2 linked regions of the Arabidopsis thaliana genome follow. The protein of the gene in region 2 interacts with the protein of the main gene of each other region in a pairwise test. Each region holds a gene or a part of one and is shown on either strand. Other genes may lie near its edges.

The links. Proteins that work in one complex are often made in the same cells at the same time.
Region 1: the proteins of AT4G32295 (region 2) and BZIP24 interact in a two-hybrid assay, tested with the Arabidopsis thaliana proteins (one large-scale study listed by BioGRID).

The regions. Positions count from the first base shown.
Region 1 is NC_003074.8:19,281,446-19,285,765, forward strand, and holds BZIP24 (basic leucine zipper 24), read right to left. Parts: upstream 2,748-4,320; 5' UTR 2,620-2,747; coding exon 2,561-2,619; exon of another isoform or gene 2,405-2,560; coding exon 2,209-2,404; intron 2,124-2,208; coding exon 1,817-2,123; intron 1,508-1,816; coding exon 1,383-1,507; 3' UTR 945-1,382; downstream 1-944. Other genes in the region: ASAT1 (acyl-CoA sterol acyl transferase 1), read left to right, coding at 2,975-4,012. UniProt on the Arabidopsis thaliana protein: Transcription factor involved in the regulation of salt stress response. Functions as a negative transcriptional regulator of salt stress acclimation response by regulating cation homeostasis.
Region 2 is NC_003075.7:15,590,760-15,595,424, reverse strand, and holds AT4G32295 (histone acetyltransferase), read right to left. Parts: upstream 2,538-4,665; 5' UTR 2,466-2,537; coding exon 2,365-2,465; exon of another isoform or gene 2,258-2,364; coding exon 2,143-2,257; exon of another isoform or gene 1,925-2,142; coding exon 1,810-1,924; intron 1,731-1,809; coding exon 1,345-1,730; 3' UTR 870-1,344; downstream 1-869. Other genes in the region: AT4G32290 (Core-2/I-branching beta-1,6-N-acetylglucosaminyltransferase family protein), read left to right, coding at 4,432-4,665.

The DNA.
Region 1 (4,320 bases), on a different chromosome or scaffold from region 2:
TTGGTCACGCGCCGGTGATTGATATGCAGACCAGCTGTATCGCTGGGGTCTCCACTCTCTCCTACTGTCTCTTTCTCATTTTTCATCATTTTATTTTGGTAGGGACACATTTTTAAGTATAGCTAAGCTTTTGGTTTGATTACAAAATTAAATAAACTACCTGGTTTTCTTATTCTTCAACTTGCTTATTTTAAAATGAAACGGCAGAATTTTATTGTCATTTAAAGATAAATTTGAGTAATTAGGGAAACATAAAAAGCATGTCATATCCAAATTGTCAATTTGCTCAGCTTAATCTCTGCTTTTATTGTCCTTTTATTTGTTTGGTGAGAGACACTTGAATTTTATTTCATTCAATCATTATTGCATGCTTCGATCACATGAAATTAAATAAAAACCATTTCATTATTAAAATCTGTCTTAATTAATCTCATGGGCATATGATTTATTGTCAAATGTGTTGACCAATTCCATAGGTTTCTTATTTGAAGCAACATAACTAATTATCTAGAAAAAATCTTACACACGTAGTTTCACATATTCAAAGTATTGAGTATGTTTTTTTTTGCTTTAATAAAATATTCATGAGAGGGTAGGATTAAAGATGAAAAGACATGATTGTTCTAAATTAATGTAGGGTTAAAAAAGAATTATTATTTTTTGAAAATTTAAAATTTCGAAAGGACCTTTTTATAAAAGAAGAATGACCCACAAAGGAAAGCAATGATTATAATAGTTATTTTTTGGGTGTCAAAAGCAGTGGTCTAGTCTAGTCACAAGAGCCGAGGCACCTAACACTTCACTCTATGATTATGTGTTTTCAATATTATAAAGTATATATACTCTTTGCTAAATAATTTACCCCAAAAATCTAACATTGCGGCCTTATCATTGACTCATCCAGAAATATTTGATTCGCATGTAAATTTTACATGGGGGAGAATGATTATTATGCGCAAATGTTTGAGGCGAATTGAAAAAAAAAAATAATGATTGGGGCAGTCTATTCCACACCAATGGAATTCATTTGCATTTGAAATTTATGATATACACATGCATGTATGATGCATACCTTAAGTCCTTATCTATTATTGGTTTGGGTATTCACCATACCCACATATAGAGAATCTATAAATGGACCCCCAAAGATCTTCTAAGCCCACAATTATCATCATATATACATACAACTACAAATCTACAATCATCCTCCTCTTCATTTCAAAATCAATTCCACATCAAGATGTTTTGGTACCCTTAAAATAGACATATGTAGAATAAGTTACCAATCTGTGTATATGTTAACTATATTGGAATCCGACCTCTATGCCCCTAATTAAACCCATATGTATATATATACACACAATACCACAGCCCGTAAACGCTTAACGTGAGAATGGTGGTGGTTGAGGAACAAAAGATTGAATAGGATCATGAAGTGTTTGGCCCTCCTCGCACTCCACTCTTGCCGCTTCACACATCATATTACTTGTTGCTAAGTTGCATCCATCTGTGTGATTACACGAGATCCAAAATTGTGTCAAGATTAGGTCTAGGTCACTTTTGTATAAAAATGATGGTGATGAATGGTTTACTATTAGTTTACGTTTTCATTATTCGAAAATGTGATTTTTACTAAGACGATAACCAAATAAATGAAACTAGTTCTTTAGCGTTTCGTATTGTTCAATAAAATTTCAGTAGCTCAAATTTCATTAGCTATTTACTAGTTCTTCCTCTTAATGCTAAATTTTTCATCAACGTATCAGATTGTTGACAACCAATTTCAACTAGTAAACCAAATAGTAGGAGAAATCACCTTCTTTGAACACAAAACCAGAACCGTTGCATTGTTTCTGAAACGAGAAACTACAAAGTTCAACTTCAATTTTCCCCTGCATCTCTACCAGAAGAGCCCGGAGTCTGATCAATTCAGTTTCCACCATTTCTTGGCTCTGAAGTTTTCTAAGGAATTGCTCATTCAGAGATTGCAATCTCATCACTTCATCTTCAAGGTATGCAGTGCGAGCCTTCTTCTTCTCCCTGTACTTCCTCACTGCCTCTCTATTACCACATAACCGTTTCTTGTTGCTACTGTCAGAATGATCATTCTCTTGCTGATCCTGCTGCAACATAAAAATATGTATCTATAACAATCCATTAAAATATCATCAGAAACATACCATATCTTAAGGGAAGAGATATTATTACAGAGATGATGAGATGAGTGTGAGCGTGGAAGCATGTGTGGGAGTGAGAAGCATCCTCTGGGCCTGGAGGGTTACAGCTATGAGTGTGACTACATCCTCTCGTTACTCGATCTTGATCTTTATCTTCTTCCTCATTCATCTTTATATATCTTTGATTCTGAGGTCCAAACTCAAGATCTCCAAAGAAAACACCTGTTCTGTTTGGGACATAGAATTATGGTGATATTATTAGGGTTTTTGATTAAAGTAAAGATGGTGTTGAAGAATATGTTCTTGATTAACATAGTGGATGAATAAAACAGTAGTCAACTCTTTATAATTTTTTGACATGGCCCAAGAAAGAAAAATCTTACAGAGAATCAAAGTTAGAAACTCGTTGGTTTCCTCTGCAATCCTTGCAACAACAAAACATCCAAGTACAAAGATTGATAGGCTTTTTGGTTTTGAGATTACCTTAAAATGTTTTTTTTTTTGTCTGTACCAAACTTTGAAATGGTTTTATTACTAGAAATTACGACGGAACAATAAGCAAAGCCATTTACCATATCCCCAGACCCCAATGAATAATATATTATAAGAAAGAGAATTGGTTCTTTAATGTCAATTGTCAAATTGTTTCGTATAGAAAAAGAAGAAGACTTTTCTCATGGATTTTAACTTATTGCACGTCTCTATCATTATTTAGTGTTCGCTGGCGGACACGTTTTGTAAACGTGTTTATCATCATCATCTTGCTTCCCGACGAGATTTGAGTTCAAGAAGCAAAAATGGCGAGTTTCATCAAGGCATGGGGTTTAGTGATCATCTCACTGTGTTACACTTTTTTCATTGCCAAATTGGTTCCAAAAGGAATCAAAAGGCTCATACTATTTTTCCCTGTCTTCCTCATTTTCTTCATAGTACCTTTCTTGATATATTCCTTACATTTACTCGGCATCACGGCTTTCTTCATCGCTTGGCTAGCAAATTTCAAGCTCTTATTATTTGCATTAGGGCGCGGTCCTCTCTCTTCAAACCATAAACCCCTATCTCTCCCTATTTTCTTAGCTGTCTCTTGCTTGCCCATCAAGATTCAGCTGAGCCCAAAACCTACAAAAACTCACTCCCATGAAGGATCCACAGAGGGTCCTTTGATTTATACCATAAAGGCAGTTTTTGTGGTTCTCATCATCAAAGCCTACGAATACAGTACCAAATTGCCTGAGAAAGTCGTGCTGACTCTCTACGCGATCCACATATATTTCGCCCTTGAGATCATCCTTGCCGCCACAGCTGCTGCGGTTCGAGCCATGTCGGATCTTGAGCTCGAGCCACAGTTCAACAAGCCGTACCTAGCGACATCACTTCAAGATTTCTGGGGGAGACGATGGAACCTGATGGTCACTGGAATCTTACGGCCAACCGTGTACGAACCGTCACTTCAACTGTTCTCGGTTTTGGGCCCGAACTATTCCCAGATTCTTGCAGCTTTCGGGACGTTTGTTGTCTCTGGGATAATGCACGAGCTCATCTTCTTCTACATGGGACGGTTGAGGCCAGACTGGAAGATGATGTGGTTCTTCCTCATAAATGGATTTTGCACGACCGTGGAGATCGCCATCAAGAAAACCATTAACGGTAGGTGGAGATTCCCGAAAGCAATCAGTCAGGTTTTGACACTCACTTTTGTGATGGTGACGGCATTGTGGCTGTTCTTGCCCGAATTTAATCGGTGCAACATAGTTGAGAAGGCTCTTGATGAGTACGCAGCCATAGGCGCATTTGCAGTCGAGGTCAGGAGGAAACTGACCGCATATCTTTTTTAACCCTGCCGTGTGACAAAGCTTGAGTGATCTCTATTTTAACTTATTTTTTTCTAACACTGTAAAACCGACATTTCTGCAACCCCATCATTTACATGGCACACGAATCAAGAAAATTGTGGAAGTTCATAATACTATACATAAAACCTTGCAAACATGATATGAAAGTAAAGATGAGGGGAAGAAACCCGCTCGAGTAGAGGCAATAACATGCAAAATGGATCAGCAAGATCCGCCTAAGTTACACATCTTAAGTCTATCTAAGGCAGTTAGAATTTGTCTACAACTCCTACAGCTAAAGCTTTTCCCAC
Region 2 (4,665 bases):
AATCATACGGATGATCTCTTTTGATATCATCATGATTCATGAAAGCCGTCAACGTATGACTAAGATTACATAATTAATCAATAATGGTCCAAGAAAAAATAATAATTATGTTATTATTATATCGTAACAAAACAGAATCCATGAGAACGGTCCTTTCGTGTCAAACCAATACGTAGAGAGTCAATTGGTTAGTGATTTAATAATTGGAACTACTTGGATCATCTTTTAGGTAAAGACATAAATTATAATATTTTGTTTCTTGTACATATATGTATAATAATGGACCAGGTTGGGTAATGAGAAAGAAAAGCTTTACTCATAATCCAATGAGAAATTACTTTTGTGAAAAAATTATTAAACTACAAAAAAAGTTGGCCCTTTTTAAAATCTTACTTTGCCAATTTTCAACAATGGACTGCTTGGAAAAATGCTGGTAAGTGTGTTTCGTTCCCACAGGTTGATAAGATTCGTATTAGGTGAAAACTGAGAATTGACGAGGTCTTCCAGGTTGTCAAGGAATTAGTTTAATTATGCTTTTGAAATTGAAATAGGTCCAATGGTTTATAACACACAATAAAATATCTTCTCTTCCTTTTTAACTACTAATATCTGCAAGAGCATTTGTATATCTACACAAAAGATTTGGTTGTTAAGATAGTTTTTGCATCTAAGATTTGTCCTCTTTGATTCAAATTCGAGTCTAATGTCGAACAGCTGGATCGTATGAAATCATATAATAATCAAGAATTATATAGTTAATTAATGTACTTAGAATCTCATGTTGATTATGATGATTAACGTCCAAGTTCACTCGGTTTTTCTGTAGAACAGACGATTTCAAAAATCTTCCACAAAGTTGTTACAAGTGTGTCTTATCTTCATAAAAATGCAAACGAAACTTTAAGTTCGATCCGTTTTACCGAATGTTCTTCAGCCTACTTGCAACTAAATGGGCCTAAATTGAGTTGGCTCAAAAAAGCCCATTTCATAAGGAGCCTGCTAGAGTCATCATCGGTCGCCGAAGAATCAGATGGAGTCTAACTAAAGTCTTTCGATGGAAAATCCAATGTAGGGCATTTAATATGCTTGTTGTGAAAACAGAGATGTGGAATGGATATTTCTCGAACAGTGTTGCAATGTAAAAATACATTCGTGAAGTCTGATGATTCGAGATTGATGCAGGTAGAAGAAAACGACTTCATCTCCTGTTTTGTTACTTCGTCTCTCTATTTACATGTTCACAAACCTAAACCTAGGGTCTAGAGAGGAGACTAAAAGGCCTAACTAAGCACACATTCTTCTAACACAAGACTTGCTAATCAAAACCCAATCTTGCTCTCCTTTTCAGTTGTTATTGTTGCTGCTTATCTTACTTCGTTTTTGAGTAGGAGGTCCAAGAGGACCTAAGCGCAGAGATAGATCACATTCACACCCACCAAAGGTAATGCCATTTGTTGCGTCAATGAGACTCGCCGGTCTACTGTTCTTGGACTTACACGAGTCACTGATTGGCCGGAATGAATAGCATAAAGGGTAGGCAGAGTACTTGGAGACAGGGCAATTCTCTTGTGCTACTGCAAGATTCTTTGGAGCAAAGTTGTTTGGTTTCATGAATACTTGGGACAACATGTTGTCCAAGTTAGTTGAGTCTTGGCTAAGATAACATCTCGGGTTAATGTTCCGTTGGCTCCTTGAAGCTCTCCTTGGTGTGCACCCCAAATGCAATGCAGCTACATAATAAACAAGACTTGCTCATTGATCTGAGCCAATAATCCCCGAAAGCTCGAATATACAGATTGTATTGTATACCTTCAATACAAGGCTGAAGAAATTCCCCTGTTTCGGTGGTCTCATCAAGTCGTATGATTGTGTTGATGGCGTCGTTTGTACGGTCTAAAAGGGTCTTCATGTCCATATACTCAGCCTAACATCAAACCCACAAGAAGTATATAAAATATTCATATTCCAAATGAACACATTAGCTACAAATCCACTCTATCAACTCCATAAAATCCAAGGTTTAGTACAGATTACCAGAGACTATCAGTCACACTGTTCAAAGAGGGCAATAAAAAGCAAAAAATGAAAATCGAAATACTATTTAGAAACAATCCTTTGTAATTAAAATGTTGGAAGAAAAACCTCAGAATTGGCTTTGGAATACATGATTTCTTCAGCTCTCAAGACAACAACAGGGAGCTTCTCTTGCCATTCTGTGTTTTTCCTGGTGGATTGGCTGTGAATCTCACAAACAATCCTACAAATAGTTCAAAGAACAATTGAGCTAAAGAAAGACATGCACACACACAAACCTATAGATACACAGATAGATATCCAAAGTGAGAGAGAGATGATGATGATGACCTGAAAATCTCTTGGATGAGCAAACCCCTCATGGGTTGGTGTCTGTCACTATGCCAAGCTCTTCTGATACAGTCGTACGGTCTTGGCCCTGGCCTCGGCATCTTCCACCACTTCCTTTTCTATGAGAGAGAGAGAGAGAGAGAAAAAAAGACAAAGTGAGATTGTTGTTCTTCACTAGTTTTCACTTCTCAATAATTTATTTGAGTGTGGTGGGGGAGAGAGGTAGTCCTGTCCAACTGGTCCGGTCCGGTCCGGTCCGGTTTAGTCTGCCTAAACTTATCATGGTCCGGCCTACTCTATGTAGAGTTGCAGTCCAATAATTTACTAAAATATAACTAAAAACTCTACCATTCACCAAATTATTTAGGAGTTTTAGGCAACTGTTGGAGTGATTTTGAACTGTCAAATTTAAATAAGACACGTGGATAACTTGCGTCAAATCACCCAGTCCAGTGAGGTCTCAATTGATTGCATGTCTTGTGAGGAAAAAAGAAGAACGACTTAAAAAGCATAATAAGTATGATTTTTCTCTACAAATCACAAAAGAAGATCGTATGATTGAAAGTAATAATAAAGGAAACAAAATGAAATCTTGTGAATTGCTTTCGTACCGCGTCTAATCTTTTGCCATAATTTTTCGCTGACACTGAAACATTCAAGATGACGTCAATCTCTTTATTATTAAAAGGGAAATACAAATTAAAATTTTGTTTAATTTCGCCTTAATTTTGATTTTAATTTTGGATTTTGTTCTTTGCTATTCAAAATCATTATGGTAATTTGGTCTTAACAATCTACTTAACTTTATATGATCCGATTCAATCTAAACCGTTCAATAAAATTAATTCCGTTCAACAAAAATAAGTAAAATAATTTTATTTTTTTTATCTTCACTTTAAAGACATATAATTATAAATAACATAATTCATATAGTCTTTACTTTTACTAAAATTACATACACATAACTAATTAATACATATTTTAATACATTCCTTTTATTACTAAATAACAAAAAAAAAAAAAATCCCAATTATTATTTAGTTATATTTAATTAAAAAGTTTTATATTTATAAGTTTAAAATATCAAATTCATTCAAAAATTTAGTATAAGAATCAAATAAACCGATTGTCCGCGAACTCCTAGTAAATAAATAAAAAATCAGTGAATTGACAAACTAAAATAAAATCTCGTTGCTGACAAATAAAGTAAAGGTCTAAAACATTACCGAAGACCCATCGTCCTAAAACTTTTCAAGTCTGAACTCAAAAACTCAAAATGAAAACCACCTTAAGGTTTCTCGTCGTTAGTGAAAGGCCCAAAAACTCAGATTTTTAAAGGCCCAAATCTATTGCATGTCGACCACGTGGACCACCGTACAGAGAAACTCGTATCCAACAAAGCTGTTGCCTTCGAGACGGAAACGTTTCCTAAAACGGATCGATTACGAAAATTCACGCAGCCACGTGATGTCATTAGAAAGCTTACCATCCAACGGTTTCCATCAATCCACTTGTAAGACTAAGAACCCTCCACGTAAATCGAATATTTTTATGACTCCTTCCTTTAATGTTAGCTTTGAACACACTAATCAAACGAATAAATTCTTTATACATACACAATCACATTATGTGTGGCCTATGATTTAGTCAGATTTATGACAAACTGATAAAGTACAAGAAATGATAACCAAATAGAATTCAATTCATATATACTCTTTTCGGATAAACAGTACAGTGATCAAAATTATTAGAATTAGTGGCCAAATAAAACTAAGAACGTTATGTATATTAAATGACAACTCGAGAGAAGACGAATACTTTTCTATATAAAGATGTAAAATTCCAAATATGAAATGCCATTGAATTATATATTTCTATAATTAGTGTACTCGAATTAAATATATAATTTCTTAACGTAATAATAAGATACAACAAGTTGCACCAAATCCCACTCTCTCACTCTAGAAACCAAATGTCGTTGATAATAATAGAACACTTTCTTTCTCTCTCTAAAAAGCAAAAGTAGTCTAGTCACTGATTTCTTCTAATCCTCCGGTGGAGTGAGAGATGATATCTCCGACGTTGTTTCCTCTCCTCTGCGCTTTATTTCTATGTCTTCCAGTGGCTGTTATCTTCACAGTCCAGCGAGAACTCACCTGCGTTATCTCGCCGGAGTTTGGTTTCCGCTCTCTTTCCGTCTTCTCTCTTTACTCTCGAAATGTCCCCGACTCTTCTTCTTCTTCTCCGGCGGTTCGGATTCGACAGCCGATTCCCAAAGAAGACGACCCTCTTCTTCGACTA